3 linked regions of the Caenorhabditis elegans genome follow. The protein of the gene in region 2 interacts with the protein of the main gene of each other region in a pairwise test. Each region holds a gene or a part of one and is shown on either strand. Other genes may lie near its edges. The genes, in order: C05G5.5, dhs-14 and ech-8.

What was found.
Region 1: the proteins of dhs-14 (region 2) and C05G5.5 interact in a two-hybrid assay, tested with the Caenorhabditis elegans proteins (one large-scale study listed by BioGRID).
Region 3: the proteins of dhs-14 (region 2) and ech-8 interact in a two-hybrid assay, tested with the Caenorhabditis elegans proteins (one large-scale study listed by BioGRID).

The regions. Positions count from the first base shown.
Region 1 is NC_003284.9:14,754,429-14,764,834, reverse strand, and holds C05G5.5 (Metalloprotease TIKI homolog), read left to right. Parts: upstream 1-3,713; 5' UTR 3,714-3,871; coding exon 3,872-3,961; intron 3,962-4,376; coding exon 4,377-4,485; intron 4,486-4,540; coding exon 4,541-4,708; intron 4,709-4,763; coding exon 4,764-4,868; intron 4,869-6,283; coding exon 6,284-6,480; intron 6,481-7,208; coding exon 7,209-7,415; intron 7,416-7,465; coding exon 7,466-7,668; intron 7,669-8,576; coding exon 8,577-8,760; 3' UTR 8,761-8,780; downstream 8,781-10,406. Other genes in the region: Y16B4A.2 (Carboxypeptidase), read left to right, coding at 324-533, 579-742, 791-953, 1,008-1,097, 1,147-1,409, 1,456-1,582, 1,630-1,749, 1,801-1,943 and 4 more; sucl-1 (Succinate--CoA ligase [ADP/GDP-forming] subunit alpha, mitochondrial), read right to left, coding at 9,019-9,081, 9,307-9,527, 9,656-9,827, 9,949-10,326.
Region 2 is NC_003283.11:2,761,917-2,768,481, forward strand, and holds dhs-14 (DeHydrogenases, Short chain), read right to left. Parts: upstream 3,285-6,565; 5' UTR 3,279-3,284; coding exon 3,242-3,278; intron 3,192-3,241; coding exon 2,764-3,191; intron 2,718-2,763; coding exon 2,547-2,717; intron 2,307-2,546; coding exon 2,103-2,306; 3' UTR 2,065-2,102; downstream 1-2,064. Other genes in the region: dhsl-4 (DeHydrogenases, Short chain), read right to left, coding at 1-179, 227-397, 476-670, 994-1,263; cror-2 (DeHydrogenases, Short chain), read right to left, coding at 4,355-4,561, 4,605-4,775, 5,078-5,505, 5,548-5,587; dhs-15 (DeHydrogenases, Short chain), read right to left, coding at 6,503-6,565.
Region 3 is NC_003282.8:10,234,255-10,241,959, reverse strand, and holds ech-8 (Enoyl-CoA Hydratase), read left to right. Parts: upstream 1-2,783; 5' UTR 2,784-2,845; coding exon 2,846-2,908; intron 2,909-3,439; coding exon 3,440-3,595; intron 3,596-3,645; coding exon 3,646-3,789; intron 3,790-3,837; coding exon 3,838-3,957; intron 3,958-4,002; coding exon 4,003-4,429; intron 4,430-4,756; coding exon 4,757-4,878; intron 4,879-4,924; coding exon 4,925-5,022; intron 5,023-5,077; coding exon 5,078-5,261; 3' UTR 5,262-5,334; downstream 5,335-7,705. Other genes in the region: lipl-7 (Lipase), read left to right, coding at 156-242, 296-398, 679-1,046, 1,414-1,895, 1,944-2,055, 2,559-2,636; ech-9 (Enoyl-CoA Hydratase), read left to right, coding at 6,650-6,712, 6,757-6,912, 6,961-7,095, 7,141-7,260, 7,307-7,705.

The sequences.
Region 1 (10,406 bases), on a different chromosome or scaffold from region 2:
TTTCTTTGAAATATATAAATTTTGATTGGAAAATGATGTTAAACATTTCACAAGTATATCAATTATTATTTCTCTAAATTTTCACATAATAAAGGTTACGGAAAAATGTTTGATTAAATTAATAAGCTTGAATAAAATCAAAACAAATTCGATTTTTTCTGGAAAATTACATTCTTTAGCAGGTTTTCATACTCTGTATGGACTGTTGTACCGAAAATTTTGAAAGAAATATAAAGTCTGAAATATAAAACCTAAGGTCCTTTTGAAAATGATAAATAAAAGTATATGCAAAAAAGATTTTGTAAACCCATCAGACTTTTCAGGTAACTTCTCCACGTCAACCATGGTACTACCAACAAGGAAGCCAATACGTTACAACCATTGCTGGATATGCCAAGTCTTGGACTCAAAACTTGGTTCAACTCACTGTCAAGGGATCAGGTCATTTCGTTCCTTCTGATCGTCCAGCTCAAGCTCTTCAAATGCTCACCAATTTCTTGAGCAATCAGGCTAATTACAGCACTCCGGCTGGAGTGAGTTTATTGATATAATATTTTTAAGTCAACCCGTCGTTACAGATTGATGTGACCCCTCAGCCTCTGACCAATGTGATTTCTCAAACTAACTGCACAACTGGACAAACTGATCGTATCATTAATCTGCCTGGTCTTCCAGCTGATATGTTGTTTAAGCAATATTCCGGATTTTTGGATGGACTTTCAGGACACAAGGTTCATTATTGGTAAGACAGTTTACTGGGCTGTATTGAATCATATTAATAATTGAATAGGCTTGTTGAATCTGAAAACAACCCATCAACCGATCCTCTTTTGCTCTGGCTCAATGGTGGACCTGGATCCAGTTCTTTGATGGGATTGTTCGAAGAGAACGGTCCATTCCGTGTTAGCAAGGACTCGCAGACACTTTCTCGTAACCCATATTCATGGAACAAGGTACAAACAGTTTTTATATTTAGCAATATGTACATATCAACTGTAAATTTTCAGTTTGCTAATGTCTTGTACTTGGAAAGTCCAATTGGAGTTGGGTATTCCTATGCCTATAACAACACCAACATTCAGTATGATGATGTTACGGTAAGAACCTTTAAAAATTCAAACTCCAAGTTAAAATTAATTCTTGCAGACCGCTCAAGAAAACTATGCTGCTCTCAAGAGCTTCTTTGCTCAATACCCTCAATACACTACATCTGATTTCTACACCACTGGAGAATCCTATGCTGGAGTTTATCTCCCAGGACTTTCTGCTCTTCTTGTACAAGGAATCAAATCTGGCGATATTAATATTAACTACAAGGGAGTTTCCATTGGAAACGGAGTCATCGACAAGAGAACTGACATGAATTCTCAACTTCATTACCAATATTATCATGGTGGAATTTCTGCAACGTATGTTTCCGGATTATCGTAACTTAGTATATGTTTTTTATTGCAGGACTTACAACACTGCCTTGCAGTTGTGCTGCTCTGGAGATGAGTTCAAGTGCAGGTTCAGCGACCGTATGACAAACTTCAACAACTCGATTCCCTGGGGAGACTTGAGCGATCCATGCTACGACTTTGTAATTCTATTCGAGTTCATGATATGTGAAACAAAATTAAATTTCAGGTCGTCGCTACTGGAGCTCAACTTCTGTTGACCGCTTTTGATCCATATAACATGTACCAACAATGCTGGACTATTCCGTACAATGATACTACTCCACGTACTCCATACGGAGAGACTTGGGTGAGATCATTCGGAAAGTTTGAGAAAAAAATTATTTATTCAAATTTTAAGACCGGAATCAACTATGAATCGTCCGATTTCTTGAATGGTTACCCTTGCTATGATGACAGCGCGATGGAGGGATACTTGAACCGTCCAGTTGTTAGAAAAGCACTCAACATTCCAGATTCCGTTCCATACTGGGCTGCTAACAAGTATGCACCTAATTTAAGATTTTGAAAAAACTATTTGAAATTTCAGCAACATTATTAATGCCTACAATCAGCAAGTGGATAGCATTGTTCCAAATCTTCAAATCATCATGGCAAAGTACACTTAATATTAGTTTTTGGAACCTACTAAAAATAGTTTTCAGCGCTCCTGCAAACTTTAAGATGCTTTTATACAGTGGTGATGCTGACACCATGGTGAACTGGCTTGGTGCAGAAATTTTCACAGCTAACAATTTTGCGGCATTGGGACTTACTGTATTTTTTTTAAATATACTTTTTTTTTAAATACAGTATTCTTTCAGACATCAAGCCCAAGAGCTCAATGGACATTCCAATATAACAGTACCTTCCAACCAACAGTTGCTGGATACCAAACTTCGTACACTTCAAACGCTATTAATATTGATGTGCTCACTGTTAAGGTATGCTTTTTAAGAATTAATATTTACTCATAATTTTGTTCCAGGGCTCCGGTCACTTCGTGCCACTTGATCGTCCACAGCAAGCTCTTCAAATGATCTACAACTTTGTGAAGTCCAGAGGTTACAACACTCCATTCGATCTAAATAGCAATTTTACTACAACAACAACAACATCCACCACCACAACAACACCAGGAACTGGACCTACAGTAACAGCAGCCCAAACCACCACAACAACGCCAAGCACTCCAGGCGCCGGTACTACAGGAACACCAGGAACTGGACCTACAGTAACAGCAGCACCAACAAACGGCATTTCAACTACACAACCAATTATTACAACAACTAAAGGTGCTGAAGGCAGAGGAGTCTTGACAATTATGGCTACAATTCTTTCAGTTTTATTGTTCAATTAAATGGAAAAAACTTGTATCTATTAATTTTGCTTGTCTATGCACATTGTATTCCAAATAAATTATTAAATAGAAATACTTCATTATACTATTATAAATTATTTGAGATATGTAATACATATGCATATGGCTTTATTATGGTCATGCTTTTCAAAGTTATTAAATTTTAGGCAACTTTTAAACCAAAATATACTTGGAAAAATTTTTTATTTAATTTTCGGAGAAGAAGTAGTGTCTGTGGGTTTTTTGCCATCTGAAAGTTTGTAAATGAAAATAAAGTTATAACGTGAGTCTTTAGTCTTTGAATGTGACAAATGATGTTTTATATGATAAAACAACAAAGATAAAGAAAAGAAAAAAACCCGATGAATATAGACCGGAAAAACACACTCATTTCCACTGGAGTTTAAAAATAATTCCGGATTGTGGCCGATAATACGGTCGTAGATTGCTCCACTTCCCAATAGAGGCTGGGTGATCCTGGTGGTGAGGCCGGACTTGAACTCGTGGCCTCCAGATTGCTAGCGGTTACCACTACCGATTGAGCTATCCTGCTCCCTTATTTACACCAAAATTAATAAAATCATTACATTTTTTAAAATAAAGTCTATGAACTGTTGTTTTGTTTTTTGTGCCATTTAAGGCAAAAAGGCCCACAAACATTACTTCATAAGAACTTTTTTTAAAAGTTGGTACATATAATGAATTTCCACCAAGAAAACATATTCCCGTATGTCCAATAGTTTACAATTCCCATCGCTCACCAATACCTACCGGTGTTTATTCAAACAGTGCACATCACAAGACAGATCAATATGGTGGACCACACTCACACCTAACCCCGCCCTCGGATGCGTAAACGCACCCTGCCAGCTCCGTCTCGAGCTGCTACCACCACCACCTTTTCACGCCTCCGAAAACTTTGCTTCCTTTTCTGTCGTGTTCTTTTTTCTTCCGCACCACCAACTGCTGTAGGAGTCCGCTTTTGTGTCTCTTTTGTTTATTTATTTTTGAAAGCTTTTTGAGATACTACTTACTCTTCTGTCTACTCTATTCGCATTTTTGACACGTCGAGATGACCTTTTATATACTAGTTGTATCTTTATATTTATCATTGTTTCTAGTAACTGTTGTACAGTCCGATTGTGATACCGATGTTGAACAGGTGAGGTTTCACTGATTTATTACATTTTTTAGGTTTCAAAAATGCTAGTTTTCCGACAACTCATTCAAAACATCAGAACTGTAAAAATAAATGTACTTACCAGGTTACTGGTATATTTCCTTCAAAATAATCTAGCTCACAATAGTCAGCAAATCAATGTGAAATTTTGTTTAATTCGAAATAGGGTTTTAGGACTAAAACCGTTAATAAGAAGGACAAGCCCAGAGCTAAATACTGCTCGTTTTACATCTTCTGTTTTTTCATTAATCTTAAAATTTAAATATTTTAAAAGTTGAATATTGAGTAAAAATCCTTAATGGATTCCAATTTGTATAAAAATTGTATAAAAAGCTATCAAAATTACAAGAACAAGTCAAATAAAAATCTAATATAATTTTCAATATTTTTGTTTCAGAGGGAAAGAAATATATTCTTGTGGTCAGTAAAACATCCCCAGTTCGCATCATCTCAGGGATATCTTTTTGGTACAATTCATGTGCCATTCACCGAGGTTTGGAAGGAAGGTAGGAAGATCAAAATGAAATAGTCATGACGCCAACTAATAATTCATATTTTCAGTGAGCGACCGAGTGCGTGATGCATTTGCGGTGTCAGACACAGTTCTCTTGGAAATTGATTTACATGATGAAGCAACAATTCATGAGTTGATAGCTTGTAAGAACTTGGCATATGATGAGACTGTGCACTCTTATCTTTCCATTGAATTATTGGAAAGAATAGAGAAAAGTGAGTGAATAATTTATTAAGTTTTCATTTGAAAAATCTCAAAAAAATATTCTAGTTATGGAATATCTTCGCTCAAGTTTCCTTGCCTGGGCCCAGAAACAAAATCCACGGGACACAAAGAAGATAAAGCATGCTGAAGATATCTACAACAATATCATAGGTATTTCCACCTTCTCTCGTCCTTTATATGTATTAGTACGCGGAACACGTGTTTGCTTTCTACTCTCAAAAATATACGTTTGTTCGAGTGGCTTGTTCACGAGAGTCAGCCCAAATAGTAGACCAAATAGCTACCAGATGGTAAATATGAGACCAGATGATTTTAGCACCTCACGGGTGTTTTGAGACAATGAGGTAACATTGTGATGCAATGTTTTTGTGCAGAGATAATAGTGTCGACGGCGCATAATACAATAACCACAGTAATGAAATACTACTAATTTTTGTCGAAAAGAATGATGCTTGTAAAGAAAACAAATGTTCCTTCTTTCTTTTAAATTTCCACATCAATCTTATTCCTGTAAGAAAAAAATATTTCATTTTGCCACACTCATAGTATCTAGTCACAGAGGGACATTTTGAACTTGAACATAGTTGATATGAACTTGTTTTAGGTTATGTTTTAATGAAAATAGAATGTTTGAAACAATTTCCGGAAGAATTTTTTTCATATATAATTCTGCGTCAGGATTATTTGTGAACTTATGAACAACTTGGTATTTTTTAAAGGTGATGTAGTCAAATGTTTTATTGCTTTGTTAGACTCAAAATTGTCTGAAAACACCGCATTTCATAATGAAACTTCTTGAAAACTTCTCAAAAAAAAGTTATGACAGCTCAAATAATGACCTAAAATTTGTTAAAATTTGAAATTTGACCGACTTGTCAATGTCGCAGCGGCTGGAAACTAACTTTTTAGAAATCGCGGTCTAATGTTGGTTATAACAGTTAATTATCGTGCGTTTTCGACTCGATTTCGGTACATTGAAGGTCGATGTACAACCAGAAGTTACCAAATTTTGGTCAAATCTGGTCGTCGATTGACCTTAAATGTATGTTAATAGAGTTGAAAACAAAAATTTTCAGTTTTTCCAACAAAAAAATGTTTTGATCTAGTTGTCTGAAAGACGTTTCAGATTGTAATAAAATCCGACAAACTTCCAAAATGCTCCAAATCATCACACTTTTCAGTCCTCGAAACTATACGAGAAAATGACACACTGAACATTTATCATTTTTTTATATATTTTTTTTTATATATTTATTCCATTCCAGCTAAAAATGTGCCTGCAAGATCAGAAAGACTTTTTCAGAAAGTACTGAAGTTTAATAAAAACCATATCACAATCAGAAATTGAATTGAAAAATATGGAGATTGCTCAAGTGACATTCAAAAAGTTTAATATGTTTGAATAATTCATACAAAAATTGACAACCTCATAAGTTAATATCTCTATTAGTCGTGCACCTTTTTTCATATTTTCTTATGCTTCTGCTGGTTAAATACGGTGTACAAGATAAATAGATTTGTTGTATTTTGTGTTCCTTTCTTCCTTTCCATTGAATGTTTTTCAGGAGATTGGTGGAGAAAACGCCCAATTTGGTTATTATTTCTGCTCTATCAAATGTGCGAAAATGTGTTTGAAAAAAGTTCAAGTCCATTACTAGATTTGTACATTGCACAAAGAGCCACCGACGAGAAGAAGACAATTATCCCGATTGAAACCGCCGAGGAGCAATGCAATCCAGTTGTTTCAGTTTCTACCAATGAAGTTAGTGTTTTTTTTCCTTCTGGACATCGTGAGATTTCCGGAAGCACTTCATAATTCTGAGTGTATTCACACCGATAAAAGACAAATGTGTTAGTGAACGCAAACAATAACGTGTCAAGTACTGGTTCAAAAGTAGGAAGGGTCCATTAGTCGCAGGAATAATAGAATGCGCAATATGGCAGAAAGATAATTGTCGTGTCGTTATGATGAATGTGGAAAAGTGTGAAAGCAAGGGGTTTACCGGGACAAAAGACTATGCTGCTCATTTTAGCTCAACAAGTGCTAAAACGGATGCATGGTTTTTTGTTTGCACCAATTATCAAAAAAAAAGTTCAAAGAAAAGTTTTTTGAACTTTTTAAAAAGAAGTAGCGGATGCCGGGAAATTACTGAAAAGTAGAACTGGCATATTTGGTGTCCGGTCGTCCGGTTTTGACAGACCGGACGCACGGCGTCTGGTTTTTAGAAATTTGAAAATTTTCAAAGGTGTAGGGTTTCACGGCGGCCGACCATTTCTGAGTTTAGCCACTCACTATACTTAATCATAGAATTTTATAATAAGTGGCTAAACTCGGAAATTGTCGGCCGCCGTGAAAGCCTACACCTCGGAACATTTTCAATTTTCCAAAACCGGACGCATGTGCGTCCGGTTCGGGCTCCTGACGTCCCATGTGCCAGCCCTACTGAAAAACACGAATGGTATATTAGAGTCACATTTGTTTTATTACAGATTATCTTTGCAATAGAGCATACTGTGCACTATTTTGAAGATAAAATCTTGGACAATCCATCAAAGGATAATGAGTCTAGAAGCAGTTTGAAAGAGCTCGTCGAACATTATAAGTGTGGGACTCTGAAGGAAGATATGTTTGATAAAGATGGAATGTCTATAATTGACTATGCAACTGGAACAACAGAACGGTTTAAAGCTGACGAGGTGAGTGAGTCAAAATCAAATTAAACACGCTGCAATGTTCACAATTACAGATCAACAAAAAGTTGAAGCAGGATATTTTTGTAAAACGAAATTTGAGAATGGCCAAACGGATAGAGAAGATTTTGAAGGGTCGAAATAGTAACACTGTATTTTCTGCAATAGGCGCTGGACACTTTTTTGGAAGCAGTAGTGTGTTAACATATCTTGAAGAGAGCGGATTTATAGTTCAGAAGTTAAAAAATACAGATGTGATGTGAGTTTTTCTTTTACTTATTCCATTTTGTAATCGAGACTAACATTTGAAATTTTACAATGTGCCAAAACACAGAAAATCCAAATAAATACGTTTTTAAAAATAGACCTGTGGATAAAAATAAAATTAGATCATTCAAAAATATTAATGAGTAAAACAAATGCAATGTGGAGTACTGCTTTGTTTTACGGATGTTTGCTTGTTTTTTTCTTTTTTAATTGAACTAGGGCTCACAGCTGAGTGAGACGCGAAATGCAGGCCTCACGCCGGCCTTACGCCGACGCCGCTGTGAGTGCGCAATGAAATGCTAAAGGTAGTTATTTGGAGCGGCCGACACGCTCGGGTTCCGCAGCTTGGCGTGAAATGAGTAGCTTGGTGTGTGCGAAGAAACAGTTTTTTGGAAGCGGCCGGCGTGTTCGGGGACCGCGCGGTACTATGCATTCGAATACATGCGGCTTGAGTGACGCCGTGAAGCCGGCAGAGGCACCGTTGCGGCGATCTCAAGGGAGACCTACATTGAATAATAACGAAAAAAATTGGTTTAACAGTTTTTCAAAGTTGAAGGAAGAAAGCTCTTAGTAACTCAGTAGGTACCTAGGTAAAGCCTTACATTTTTTCTATAGGAATCAGAATTTAAACAAGGGAAGAAACTATATAAAAGATACATAGGTCCAGTTGCTAAAATTTTTTAATGCAGCAGAAAAAATCGGTTTGATTAAATTTTGATTTTCTAAAATTTGGTAAATTAGTGTTTCAATAATGTTTTGAAAGATGATCGCGGTTTATGGGCATCGTGATCAGACGATTTACCAAACTTGAAAACCGCATGCGAATGAAACTTTACGGCGTTTGGAAATCATATCTAACCCACCGACATTCTTCTTGATTCTTGATCTGCAAATTTTCAGTCAACCCCTACGATCTCCCTACCGTCAAACCGCAAAGTTCAAACGTGTATGGACCAAGGAAACCGCAGTTCGTCGAAAATCAATAATCATCGAAGAAGTAGCACCATCGTCCAGTCGAATTGCTAGATTATGGCTAGTTCCGTGTATTTTTCTTTTACATTCCATCTTTGCCATTTTCCCATGAACAACTTTCAACTTTCAATCAATTGGTTTGCGACAACTGCAATTTTTCCATTTTATCGGAAAAATTCAGCCACACAGTTATCTAGAGGCAAACATATTAAAAAATTAGAGAAAAAGAGACAAGAAAGAGAGAAAAAAGAGAGAAGTCATAGAAATATTGAAATTAAAAACGCAAGATCACTAAAAAGTGTGTAAGCTATTTTCTTACAGAAAAGGGGGAGGGAGACAAGTTGAGTATTAAATCAGCGAGGGTTCCTGTTTAGATCTTTCCCAGGAAAGCGGTGGCCATGGAGGTTCCAAGTTTAGCTGGAGAGTCGGTAACCTGAAACAAATTATGGCATTTTTTTAGCAACCAAGTTTAATTTTTCAAAATATCTTTAAAAACCTGCTGACTTTTCAAGTTAAATTCTAAGGTAAATCGTCATGAACAAGGTGTAACTTCATAAATGTTCTAGATTATTTTGACAACTTTTGCAACAGAACACTGTATATCCCAAGCTTCAAAGTGCAGCTTTAAATTTTATTCTGGAAAAACGTAAAAACTTACTACTACTCCGGCTTCTCTAAGAGCATTGATCTTGTCAGCAGCGGTTCCCTTTCCTCCCGAAATGATGGCTCCGGCGTGTCCCATTCTTCTGCCTGGTGGAGCTGTGACTCCGGCAATGAATGAGACGACTGGCTTCCTGTTGGCTCCCGAGTTGTGCTCCTTAAGGTATGCGGCGGCCTCCTCTTCAGCTGATCCTCCGATTTCTCCGATGAGAATGATTCCTGGAAAATAATTGGTTTCATATTCTTTTTTTTTTTAATTTTTACTGGCTACTCTGGGTACTGATAAATACAAAATCACATTGTTTGAGTTCACATTAGGGTATTATTTTCATGAAACATGAGCTCACCCTTAGTTTCTGGATCCTCAAGGAAGACGTTCAAGCAGTCGATGAAGTTTGTTCCATTGAATGGATCGCCTCCAATTCCGACGCACAAAGTCTGTCCGAATCCGACTTGAGTAGTCTGGTGCACAGCTTCATAGGTGAGAGTTCCTGAGCGGGAGACGATTCCGATGCATCCCTACAAGTTCAGCAAACAGTTTTGATAAAATTTTTAATTGATAATTTCTGAACATGTTTTCGAAGTTCAACTTCACTTGAGAAGGATTTTAAAGGGTTCTACAACAATATTTATAACTTACTCTCTTGTGAATGTGTCCTGGCATGATTCCGATCTTGCACTGATCGGCCGAGATGATTCCTGGACAGTTTGGCCCAACAAGTCTTGTCTTGTTCTGCTTGAGAAGACGCGACTTAACACGGACCATATCGTGTTGTGGGATTCCTTCAGTGATGCACACCACCAATGGAATCTCGGCGTCCATGGCTTCCTCGATGGCGCTACCGGCAGCACTGGCTGGAACGTAGATGACAGAGGCGTCGGCTCCGGTCTTGTTGCGAGCTTCGGAGACGTTCTTGAAGACCGGGAGTCCCAAGTGCTCTGTTCCGGCCTTGTTGGCATTTACTCCACCGACGACTTTAGTGTTGTACTCGAGCATTTGCTTTCCATGGAAGGTACCCTGAAATTTTTGTGAATTTTTTTTTTGAAATACATATTTTCGATATTTTAAGAGTTCGCTATGCGCAAAGTATTGACGTC
Region 2 (6,565 bases):
TCATGAGCCTGTGTCCCCATCACAAGAGAAGTTCCTCCGTCGGCAACAATTGATTGACCAAGAATATAAAATGACAAGTTACGATCCGCCAGGAATAGGATAATATTCGCAATGTGCTCAGGCTTTCCAGCGGCTCCAATTGGGATGCATTCCTTGTGAGATGCCATGAAATTGTAGAACTGAACAACAAATTACAATTTGAGAAATTTGAAAATTTTCAGAAAACCTTTTGAGAAGCTTGATCAGGCATTCCCATAGCATTGGTAAATCCGGTTTCTACCATTCCAGGGCTAACTGAGTTCACACGAATCCCAAATTTAGCGAGGTCGATCGCAGTACTTCTGGTATACTGGTCAAGGGCTGCCTTCGCAATTGCGTAATACAAGAAGTCGGGCTGCTGGAAATAATTTTTTAATTGAATTGGAGGCTTGTTGAAATTTGAAACTCCTGGTAACAAAATTAAAAAAAAACGAACCGCTTGTGGGCCTGCAACAATACTTGAAACATTAACGATTTCTCCTTTTGAGGCTACCAAATGTGGCTTCACTTTCTTAGTCATTTCGATGACGGCTTGAAGGTTTAATTTTAGTGTTTTGTGGTAGATATCAATGCCCTGATCTGTGCCAGTTGTTCCGAATGCGTCGGGAATTGCAGCACCAGCATTGTTCACCTGAAATTATAGATCTAAATCCGAGACTCTTTGGACACCGGCACAGATGAAAAACCTAGTTTTGATAGTTCGTTCACTACATTTTTTTGTTTAATTTCCATATATTTTCCCTCAAAAAAATTATCAATACATGTTAAATCGTCGATATAAAAAAATTTTTCAGCAGATTTCTTCAGGGTTATCAAGCGCTCTGTACATAAAGCGCGCGTGCGACCGCCTTACGGCAAATTGTTCAAACGTAAATTTCCAATTTTCAGAAAATCTACCGGGCCGTCAAATTTTCATTAACTGTTAAAAACAAATTCAACTCAAAAATTACTCACCAAAACATCAATTTTCCCAAACTGTTTCAGAGTCGAGTTGATGATCTGATCTTGCCCATCTTCCGTAGTAACATCGGCAACAACCGAGTTAACTTGCTTCTCGGAAACTCCGGACTTCAGAATAATCTGCCTAGTTTCTTCAAGACGCTCTGAACTTCTTCCGGTGATCGTTACGTTTGCACCTTCCTGAGCGAAGAGAATAGCAGTGGTACGTCCGATTCCGTTGGAAGATCCGGTGATAATAACAGTCTTGTTGGAAAAACGTGGCATTTTTTGGAAATTGTACCCATCCGATTAAATGCTGACTATTTATACTCTCTGGTTTTGTGATGACATTGTTTTCGTAGTTGCCGTAGTGTCAAACAAAACAGAGAGACGCAGGGTTTTGATGAGACGCAGATTTTGTGTCCGAGAGATCGAAAATTGCGAATGACACAAATAATTGTTCCAGCACAGTGAAAAAGAGTGTATTTTCCATTGGAAATTGTGAAGTTGTTCAATGAGAATAGATATGTTTTTTTTTGAAAAATTGTTTTTCATTCTACAGGAAAACTGAAGAAAAATAGATAAGAATTTCAAAAACAGAGTGAAATATTTCGAGCTAGATTTTTGTCTAACCGAAAAGTTCTCATATTTCAAGATTTTTTTCAGGTTCAAAACTCCAATTTCTCGCTGGAGAGTCTCAATTTTTATCCACCCCCAGCCCCGCCTAAGCCTAAGGATAAGCCTATAATATATATACCGCCTAAGCGTAATAATTAAAATTTATATATTTTTTTCAGATTCAGTGGCATCCAATAAAGCATGTTTTTAAAAATGGATCTGTCAATAGTAATTTATACCAGAAAATGTTAAACAAAGTAGGCTACCTTGTACGGAAGGTTGTTAGAGAAAATTGCAGTATTTGACCAAAAGCTATTTTTTCCAAAACTGAAAAAATACGGGAAAATCATAGGAATTATTTTTATTTTTTAATTTCACTTCAGGTTTTACTCTAGGCTCATGTTTGTGGATTATATCCGTCAAAGTTAACTCAAACGGAAATTTTTTTAGTTGCCTGTTAAAAACTTTAATAAAACAATTTACTTTTAAAAAAATGTATACAAAAATTATTGTTTCAAAAGATCCATAAAATTGTGTGCCTGCATTCCCATTACCAAAGTCGAACCTCCATCTGCCACAATCGACTGTCCAATAATGTATGAAGAGAGTTTTCGATCAGCCAAGAACGCAATTATATTGGCAATGTCGATGGGTTGCCCCATTTTTCCGCAAGGAATACATTCTTTGCGAGATTCCATGAAATGTCCATACTGAAAAATGGAAAATTGAATAATTTTAAGAGCTTGTAAAACCTACCCTGGGCTTCACCTACCTACCTTCCTGCTTAAAAAGATTTAAAAAGATTTAAAAAGATTGTTCAAAATATTTTTGAACAAGTGGTAAAAAATCAGATTTTCCTACAACTAAATTTTGGTAAAATGACGTGTCAAGGATTTGTATTTTAAGTAGGCAGATCTGCAAAAGTGCCTGCCTACTATGAGGCTTCTCACCTTCTCATGCATATCAGCAGGCATTCCCATTGCTTCTCCGAAACCTGTCACTACAGCTCCAGGGCTCACCGAGTTGACTCTAACCCCGTACTGAATAAGATCGATGGCAGCACTTCTGGTATATTGATCCAATGCGGCTTTTGACATTGCATAATACATGAAAGTTGGTTGCTAAAATACAGAAGTGGGTAAAAAAGTGAAGAGAAAAGGAACTAACAGCCTGTGGTCCTGCTCCGATGCTCGAAACATTTACAACTTCTCCCTTAGCCTTAACCAAATGCTCCTTGGCTTTTTGAGTCAAAGTAACCACACTTCTCATGTTAATTTGCATAATTCTATCGTAAACTGAGACATCTTGATCAACTCCAACACGTCCTTGATCGTCATTAAAAGCCGCTCCGGCATTGTTGACTAGAATATCAAGGCGCCCGAATTTTTGAATTGTAGAGTTAACTAGTTCATCTTGACCTTTTTCAGTCGCCAAATCAGTTGCAATCGACAAAACATGATCTTCCGGAACTCCTGACTTCAAAATTTCCTGTCTAGTTTCTTCAAGCCTATCAGCATTTCTTCCAGTAATCGTAACTTTTGCTCCTTCCTGAGCCAGAAGTACAGCAGTGGCTCTACCTATTCCGTTTGAGGAGCCTTCAATGATTCATTATAAAAATGAAGAAAAATAAATTTGAAAAAAATACCTGTCACAAGAGCAACTTTGCCAGAGAATCGAGTCATAGCAGTAGTGTAGAAATTAAATATTGATACTGATAATCAATGCTTTTATTGCGTGATTTTTTTGTTGAAATGTGGTCTGTGATGTGCTTTAAGCAAACTGTGGCAGCTTATATTGATAAGAAAATAAAAATATTATGTCAATAAATAATGACTAGACTTTTGATACCACAAAAATGGAAATTCCTTTTTTGGTGGTTCGAACCAATTTTTTGACCGATGTTATTCTGCACGATTACATTACATGCCCGATGTAGCCCTCTACCGCTCGGCTTACCGATTTTAAAGAAATTTAAATTTCCGGCAATTTTCCGATTCGCCGATTTGCCAGAAATTTTAATTTCCGGCAATTTTTCGATTTGCCGGTTTGCCGGAAATTTTGACTATTGGTAAAATGCCGATTTACCGTTTTTAGAGGGATTTTTTATAAGACGGAAACACTTAAAACTGTGCCTTTTTAAATTTTTTTCCCCGTTTTCTTTAGAAATTTTCATAGAATTTGCTTAATTTTTAAATTGTATGTAGGAACATTCACAGGATATTGCCGATTGAAATTGAAATTCTAAAATTTCAAAAAAAAATTTGCAAAACCACAATTTGCCGACAATTTTTAGCAATTGCCGTTTCCCGGCGAATTCAGCAAATCGAATATTTTCCGGTTTGCCGATTTTCCGAATATTTTAAATTCCGGCAATTTATCGATTTGCTGATTTGTCAGAAATTTAAATTCCGGCAGTTTGACGATTTGCCTGATTGCCGGAAGTTTATATTCCGGCAATTTGCCGGTTTGCCATTTTTCCGGATATTTTCAATTCCGGCAATTTGAATATTTGCCGGAAATTTCAATTCCGGCAGCTTGACGACTTGCCTGATTGCCGGAAGTTTTAATTCCCGCAGTGTGCCGTTTCACCGAAAATTTCAATTCTGACAATTTGAATTTTTGCCGGAATATCAATTCTCCCAATTTACCAATTTACCGATTTGCCAATTTGCCGGAAAACATAGCTTGCCGTCCATCCCTGTTTTGTACAACAAAATCACTAGTTCCAATATTTATTCACCACTAAATCCAACAAAATTTAAGATTGCTTCATAAGATCCGCCCAGTTGTGAGCATTCATTCCCAAGACCAGTGTAGATCCTCCATCAGCTACTATCGACTGCCCAATAATATAGGAAGAAAGCTTACGATCAGCCAAGAACGCAATAATATTGGCAATATCGATTGGTTTAGCTACAGCTCCAGAAGGGATGCACTCCTTGCGGGACTCCATAAACTTCATCATCTGAAAACTCGAAAAATTCTAGGAATTTGTGTCTTATGTTCACCTCCTCAAACGCCCCACTCGGCATACCCATAGCTTCTCCAAACCCGGTAGTGACACCTCCCGGGCTCACCGAGTTCACGCGTACCCCGTACTGAATAAGATCGATGGCTGCACACCTGGTGAATTGATCGAGAGCCGACTTTGACATTGCGTAGTACATAACTCCGGGTTGCTGGAAACATGCAAATTTTAATACTCATATTTGGGGACGGGAATCCAGGCTACCAGCAGGGCTGAGCAACAGGCCGAAAAATTACAGAAATCGCCGATCGCCGATCGCCGATTGCCGCTCACTCCTACTAGGCTACCAGGCAATAATTCGATTTGCAAAACTGATTTTCGATTGATCAAACTACTCTAAAATTAAGTCAGCGGCGAGTAATAAAATTCCCCGAAATCTAATTTTTCCTAGATCATTAAGTCTTACCAGAGCAAAAACTACCGGAGGTCATAATATGCTTTAACCTAGCTTACCGCATGAGCTGTTCCAGCTATACTCGAGACATTGACAATTTCTCCCTTAGCCTTAACCAAATGCTCCTTGGCTTTTTGAGTCAAAGTAACCACACTTCTCATGTTAATCTGCATAATTTTATCGTAAACTGAGACATCTTGATCAACTCCAACACGTCCTTGATCGTCGTTGAAAGCTGCTCCGGCATTGTTGACCAGAATATCAAGGCGCCCGAATTTTTGAATTGTAGAATTAACTAGTTCATCTTGACCTTTTTCAGCTGCCAAATCAGTTGCAACCGACAAAACATGACTTTCCGGAACTCCTGACTTCAAAATTTCCTGTCTAGTTTCTTCAAGCCTTTCAGCATTTCTTCCAGTAACTGTAACTTTTGCTCCGTCTTTTGCGAACAGAACAGCTGCAGCACGCCCAATTCCGTTTGACGAGCCTAAACCTCTATTTTCGAAACATAAAACAGAACAATTCTTACCGGTGACAAGTGCAACTTTGCCAGAAAATCGAGAAAGCATGGCCAGCAGAAAACACACGAATAAATGATAGTTTCTCTCAATTTCTTTTAAGTAATCTTACAAAGTGTGCTTTGTGTCCTAACGTATCAGTTGCAATAGATAAAACTAGATAAAAGTCGTAGTTTATGTGATCTTTTTATCAAAAGAAAAACGTTTGGCAAGAAGCGTGGTGAGTGTTATTTTTTACACAATTCTATAATTTTGTCGTCTGTACCTGTGGGCGGCAAATCATTTTTTCCGGCAAATCGGAAAATTGCCGGAATTGAAAATTTTGCCGCAAATCGGCAAATTGTGGTTTTGCACATTTTTTTTTGGAAATTTCAGAATTTTAATTTCAATCGGAAAAATTGCGTGCATCCTGTTCGTACATCTTTTGAAAAGTAAGAAAATTCGATGAAAATATCGAAAGGAAACGGAAAAAAATTTCAAAAAGGCCAAGTGTTTCCGTCTTAAAAAATCCCTCTGAACATTTCCGGCAAATCTGACAAATCAGCAAATCGGCAAACCAGTAATTTGCCGGAATTAAAAATTTCTAGCAAATCGGCAAACCGGCACTTTGTCAATTTGCCGAATTCGCCGAACGACATTAGGCGCTCAGCCCCCCCCCCCCCCCTCAGAGGAATATTAATATTTTCCAGAAAAAAAATGTGTTGGCGCGAAATTCAAATTTTAACAGAATACAGTTTGGTAGAAAATTCAAATTGTCCGAAAACAATTTTGCAAGAAAAACATTAAATATTTAAAAAAAGAACTAGAACTTTCTATACGATTTCGGACACATCCATATTTTAAATTTTCTGCCAAAATACTTTTCTCTGAAAAAAAGCGCCTTTCCTTATGCGACGCACCATTCTGAATTAAGGTAGTCTGTATTTATTCCCAAATCAAAAAAAAAAGGAAAATATGAACAAAAATTTAAGCCAAAGCTTTCGACAAATCATGACTTGGCATTCCCAAAACCAAAGTGGTCCCTCCATC
Region 3 (7,705 bases), on a different chromosome or scaffold from region 2:
TTAAAAATACTTCACTTGTAATTGAAAAGTACCTAATCCTTGACCCCAACATATGTTATTGACATGTCCAAGGTGGTAATTGTTACAACAGGTGTGACCCAACACTCATCCTGTTGCTCTGCCATATAACCTCTCCTCCCAAGGTTTTTTGATTCATGTCAAAAATCGATTTATTTTTGATTTTACTCTCATTTTCTATAAATTTAAGTCTAGCTATTGACGATGAATGTTACATGACTGTGGTAAGATTTTGAGAAAAATTATTTTATTAATCTCAGAACAAATTTTTTTGTAGCCAGAAATAGGAAAACACTTTGGGTATGAATCAGAAGTACATTTAGTGAGAACAACGGATGAGTATATTCTGGAACTTCACAGAATCCCATGTAAACAAAATGGTAAGTCTGTCATTTTAGTTAAAAATGTGACATTTGAAAATTAAATTTATTTCGTAAACGGAAACTTCAAAATGAAGTATCGGCAGTAGAGATTTTGTACAAGTTTTCTCATTGATTTTTAACATGGCCGATTAAACAAAATGAATAATTTCAGATTTCTCTTTGTTCCAGTATTGGTAAATTTCCAAACTGTCAACAAAAAAAAGAAGTTTTTGAATAATTTAATATACATTGAATTTTGCTGTGAATTACCTTTGATATCATCTCTAATATTTTTCAGAAAAATGTGACAGAAGCTCAAAACGTCCAATAGTATTCATGCAACACGGCCTCCTTGCGGACGGATTCTCTTGGATTCCGAATCTAGCAAATCAATCGGCTGGTTTTGTTTTCGCCGATGCAGGTTTTGATATTTGGATTGCAAATAGCCGTGGAACTCCTGCATCACAAAAACATATTGGCTATGGACCGGAAAATCAGAAATTTTGGAATTTCACGTGGCAACAAATGTCGGAATTTGATTTGACAGCGAGTGTGGATTTGGTATTGAAGGAGACAAAACAAGAGTTTTTATATTATTTGGGACACTCACAAGGAACTATGATTATGTTCTCAAGACTTGCAGAAAATCCAGAATTTGCAAAGAAGGTATTTCAATTTATTGCTAGACACAGAGAATTTTAAAACAAATCTAATTCGTTTCTAATTATAATTAGTCAGACAGTTTTTCGGCACCCGTGCGATGAAGGATGTATTTGACATGTTTTTGTATGACTACTCGTATTATGGGGTATTGTAGTTACAAACAGTACATTTTGTTGTGACTACTTATGTAGTTGCCGTAATCCAACATTTGTTTCTCAAGCTCATGCTTTGCACAAAATTGAAAATCACGATCAGTATATATTTATAGTTTCTGTATGCTAACAAACATTTTCTTTGTAGAAAGTTACATACGATCAGTTAATATGCTTTTAGTCTTTCTTTACCTCCTCAAAAGCAACAATAATTTAAGATTCGTCATTTCCATGCATTGGCTCCAGTTGCAACAGTATCCCATATCGGTGGTCTATTTGGATTGTTTGGGACAAAGTTTCTAACTTATGCAGAAATCTTGCTCGGTCGACTTCCATACTCTCCACTGTCAATTCCGCGAACTGTTCAAAAAATGATAAGTTACATGTGCAGCAGATTCTTTATGCAAAATATTTGTACATTGGACATCGGTTTCATTGATGGAAATGAGAAAATGTTCAATCAATCAAGAGTTGGTGTATATCTTTGTCATACACCTGCAGCCACTTCTGTAAAAGATTTGCAACACTGGATTCAACTTGTCAAATCACAGACTGTTTCTAAGTTTGATTATGGAACTGATGGAAATATCATTGAATACGGGCAACCTACTCCTCCGGAATATGATTTGACACAGATCAACACACCAACTTATCTCTATTGGAGTCGTGACGACATTTTGGCTGATACTCAAGATATTCGGTTAATCAATTATATTAGTTTTGATGTAACTAAATGAATGATTTGTAGAGACTCGATTCTGTCAAAAATGAATAAAACAATCGCTGGATCACTGGAACTTCCACACTACAGTCATATGGATTTTGTATTCGGTACGCATGCTGCATTTGATTTATATCCGGTAAGTCTGAAATCAAATTTCCTACTGAATAATATCTTTTCATTAACGTTAGACCGCGCATCTGTAATATTTACACTTTGTCAAATTTTGGTAAAACCTTTTGATTTGGTTTTGATCAGGCCTTGGTAAAGACTTCATGTGTGCGTTCTGGAAGGTTAAAAAAAATGAAAGTTGGTGGGTCAGACTTAGGTCACCTCATATTTGAAATCTGTAACACGTTCCGAGCAAAGTTTGACCAATTTCTGGCCAAGGTGTATTCAAAATGTGGTCACTCTTTCTAGACATTGAACAGAAAACATTTGAAAAGGAACGGCTTCTGCAGAAATTCTCTCTAACATAAATTAATAGAGTTCCAAAATATTTCAATTCCTTATTTTCCCACTTTTTCGTTTTTGAGCAATGGTCCAAATTTTCCAAAATGCCGGGTTTGGTTGTTCTTAATGTTATATTCTTATTTTTGAAATTACATAATAAGGAGTTATTTAAAAACAAATTTATTCCAGAAAATCATCGAAACTATCCAAGATGACTACAACAAATATCGAATCACTCGGATGCACAAATTGAAGAAACATTTATGATTTTTCATCGATTTTTTTTCAAAAATAAATAAAACCGTGTTTTATTGTTGTTTTAATGGCCAAAATGTACCTATAGGCTACAATGTTCTTCTTATCAATTGATCGCTAACGTGGGACACATCTGGCATATATCAATGCAATTTCTTTAGATCTTTTAATTCGTTACAATTGGTTTTATTTTGAAATTTAGATTTTTGAAATTCAGAAAAATGGATAAAGTGCCACAAGCAGTGAGGGACTATTTGATGGAGGCTCATCAATTGGCGGCTCAGGTAACTTTGAAAACTAAAATAATAAAGTTTTTTGAATGAGAAATTAGTTATTTTCCGCTTTTCCGTATCCGTGGGCACTCTGTAGATTTGTGAATTGTTTGTTTTTGGTATTTTTCAGTGAGGGAAGACCACTTTTCGGCAGAATTTTGAATTGAGCAATGGTAGAAATCACTAAAACGATATCGTTTATAGTATATAGAGAACAGAAAATAGCTGAAGTTACAGATTTCGATTTCATTGATAATATAAAATATTAGTTCATCCGGCAAACATCGGAATAATATTTTTTTAAAGTATTTTTCAAATATCGAAGAGCACGACTATATGATTCAATGGCAAAATTCTAAGTTGTGGTGAAAAATAATAATAAACAAGAAAATCCCTTGATTAGTCAGTTGCCAAAATTTTTGAAGAACTTGCTCGAGAAAAACGCGCATTTTTACACTTTGCAAAGTTTTTCAGCATTCAGCTTTAACAATATCTGAAAATCACAATTTTTTTACATCAGAATATGAAAATTGATCATTTCAGTGGTCTCTTCCAAATGATCGCGGTGACTACATAAATTCGAAATCAATTCCAATCAAATCAGTGGCTGTAATTGGAGGTGGAACCATGGGAAGAGGAATTGCAATCGCATTTTGTTTATCAGGATTTGAGACGTATCTTGTCGAAGTTAACAATAAGGTAGCCATAAAGTTTAAAAATAATATCAATTCAGTTAAACTTGTTTGCAGGCTGCCGAATTCTGTAAAAATGAATTGGAAATCACTTACAAAAGGGAAAAAGCATTTCGAAGACTGAACGATTCAAAAGTTGAAAAATTGAGAAAAAATCTACAGATAACTACAGATTTTCAAAAGCTAAATAATTGTGATTTGGTGAGTTTTTGTTTTTATTTTCAAAAGAAAAAAAAAGAAAAATTTCAGATTGTAGAAGCCGTTTTTGAAGATATGAAACTGAAAAAGGAACTTTTCACTAAACTTGATAAAATTTGCAAACCATCATGTATTTTTGGAACCAACACATCAAGTTTAGATTTGAATGAGGTACGCTTTAAGTTAACTATTCCAAAAGAACATGTTCACTTTCAGATGTCATCAGTACTTAGAGATCCAACAAAAGTAGTTGGAATTCATTTTTTCAATCCGGCAAATTTGATTCGAATGGTTGAAGTGATCTACGGATCGAAAACTTCCTCCAAAGCAGTTGCTACAGCTTTTGAAGCATGTAGATCTATCAAAAAGCTACCAGTTCTTGTGGGAAACTGTCCAGCATTTGTATTTAACCGGCTACTTGGAGTTTATCTGAATCAGAGTCAAAAGTTGATGTATGAATACGGATATCTTCCTCATCAAATTGATAAAATCATTACAAACTTTGGATTCCTAATGGGTCCTTTAACAGTAGCTGATATGAATGGATTAGATGTAATGGAAAAGTTGAAAAAGGAGAATGGATGGCCAGCAAGTGATTTTGAAAAGGAAGTTTGGAGACAAAAGAGATACGGTAGAAAAACAAGTACGTCTTTAAATAAATTGTGAAATGAACTGAGAAACGGATAATTTCAATTTCTTTGGAGTATCACCAGCGGCAAATAGTTATACATAGGTTAAAAAACAAATACCTTCGCTCCGGCTATAAGAAAAGTTTGAAATATTTGACAAGCTGAAGTCTGAAATTTTTAAAATATTTTTTCAGTGGTAATGATAAGTGCCAATCAAAATTTTGAACGTTCCAGAAGGAAAACCGGAAATTATTGTTTTCAATTTATTTTTTCAAAATGAAGATTTTCAAAACTGTCACGAAAAGCCCAATATTTTTTACCAATTTAGGTGTAATTTTCAGATAAGGGATACTACAAATATGATCCAAATACTCACAAAAAGGAGAATGATATAGAAATGGAGCAGCTCATTCGAAAATTTTCTTCAGCTGCAAGTCCAAATATACAAATTTTGAACGATCAGGTACTCACTTTCTAATTTCATTCAAATTCAACCGAAAACTTACCAGGATGCCGTCAATTTCCTCTTGTATCCCATGGTCAACGAAGGTCTTTTGTGCATTGAGGAAGGAATCATCCATCATGAAAGTTTGATCGATATCATGTTGTAAGTAAAACTTAATTTCAAAAAAAAATTAAAATTATGAGCACAATTGTTTCAGCATTCTCGGGTTTGGATGGCCTGTTGCTACTGGTGGTCCGATGAGATTTGGATGGCTTCAAGGAATTGAAAAAGTTGCGAGCACAATTATTCTCTGGAATTCTTTAGAACCAAATGATAGAACATACAAAGTTGCGGCCACGTTGCAAAATGTGGACAGGAAGAATTTTGCAGCGAAATTATAAATTTTGTAGTTCGTTACCATGTTCAAAGAGATGATTATTGTAAAAACATAAATAAATACCCTGTATACAATTGATCTACTATGTACAAGAAATGACATGCTGGGGATTATAAATTTTGTCGAAAGTTTGATGCAAATCAATCTGCAAGACCAATTGCCCATCTCTAATTCTGAAAATTAAAATGTCTTCTGTATTTTTTTGGATAAACCCCGTGAGGTGCACAAATAATAATTATAAAAATAAAAGTACGGTACATTTAGCGAAAAACGGATCTTGAGACATTCAATTGTACACTTATCATTATTATCAGTAACATGGATTTTGTGGGCGTTTTTCGTATTTCAACCGGACAAGCACTGTCATATGAAATCAACCCTTACTCTTAGACATTTGAGCTTGAAAATTGATAAGAAAGTGGAAGTAAATGTTGCCTTACAGAATCACAAAAATCAACATAAAGACTGCCTTGCTGAAATGACGTTTTGTATTAAAAAATATTACTGATTGTGTTGGGATTAAAAATTTGATATCAAAACGAAAAATACTTGGTAAATAGGTAGAACACACATTTTTTCAAGAAAAAAGTGTTTCCTCTGGTGCTCGATATGACCGACAATAAACTTCAAATTTTTAGCTGTACTCTGTAGGGCACAATAATTATATTTAAAAATTTCAGTTCAAGCCAACTTCTGTACAAAATCCACCTTTAAAAAATTTCAGACAACACTTTGTTGAGCCCTACCAGAGATACGCGTCCATCTGCATTATTTTTCAAAAAAGTTGGCGATAGTTTTTTGTTCGGATATCGTAATAATCTCACGATATGCTGCGCTATGAAAATTGGATGTTTTTCAAAGTATCAAAACAAGTTATAGCCTAACATCTTAATTTAGTAAACAACTCCAAATAAATCACATATGTATGTACATATACAGATAAGAAACAATAAACTATACACAGAAATATTCACAAGGCACATGTTTGCACTTGATTTTTGAATTATCTAGATCTAGACGGAATTTCGTGTTTTACTCTTAAACAAAGACGACAGTGTACTGAAAGCACCAAAGTCTCATCAGCTCTTATCATCAATGAATCAACAAACAGACAGTGACAACATCGACTAGATCATTTTCTGTCCGGGAACTTCACGGACGAAATGTCGGGACAAAATCCTCTTTGTTATCACTAACGAAATATTTGGAAAAGTGGGCAGTAAAAACGTGATATATTACAAATGAAAAGTACCTATAAAAGGGTGGTCTGAAAACTCTGAAAAAATATTAACTGTATCGTGTTTAAATTTTTCAAACATTTTTTAAACTTGTATAAACAATGTTGTTCAGCCGATTAAATTTTTATACTCCAGAATTGAAAACAATCAAAAAATGGGCAAAGTTCCAGAAGAAGTCAGAAGCTATTTGATGGAAGCTCATTCCTTGGCGGGACAGGTGATTTCATTTCCAATTAAATTATTTGAATTGTATACTTCCAGTGGTCTCTGCCAAATGATCGAGGTGATCACACGAATTCTGAAGCTTATGATGTAAATTCCGTAGCAATTATTGGCGGTGGAACTATGGGAAAGGCAATGGCAATCTGCTTTGGTTTAGCTGGAATTGAAACTTTTTTGGTAGTACGAAATGAGCAGGTGATATAGATCTTTAAAAAAAAACATAATTTGTATTTTTATTTTCAGAGATGCAAGCAAGAGTTGGAAGTTATGTATGCTCGGGAAAAATCATTCAAGAGATTAAACGACAAAAGAATCGAAAAAATCAATGCAAATCTGAAAATAACATCAGATTTCCATAAGCTTTCAAATTGCGATCTTGTTTGTTAAATACTTTAACGACATTTTTTAAATGTAAAATTGTAGATTGTTGAATCAGTAATTGAAGATATGAAATTGAAAAAGGAACTATTCGCCAACCTCGAGAACATCTGCAAATCAACTTGCATTTTTGGAACAAATACTTCAAGCTTGGATTTGAATGAGGTAGAGCCTTAATTTTGCGAGAAATTGCTAACTTTAAAATCTATAGATTTCATCAGTTCTCCGCGACCCAAGCAATCTTGTTGGAATTCATTTCTTCAATCCTGCCAATGTGATTCGATTGGTTGAAATAATATACGGATCTCATACTTCATCACAGGCAATTGCAACTGCTTTTCAAGCATGTGAATCAATAAAAAAGCTTCCGGTTCTTGTTGGAAATTGTAAATCATTTGTATTCAACAGGCTTCTTCATGTTTATTTTGATCAAAGTCAGAAGTTAATGTATGAATATGGATACCTTCCACATCAAATTGATAAAATTATCACGAATTTTGGATTTTTGATGGGACCAATGACTGTTGCCGATATGAATGGATTTGATGTAATGGAAAAGTTGAAAAAGGAAAATGGACTTGAGCCGAATCCGATTGAAAAGGAAATGTGG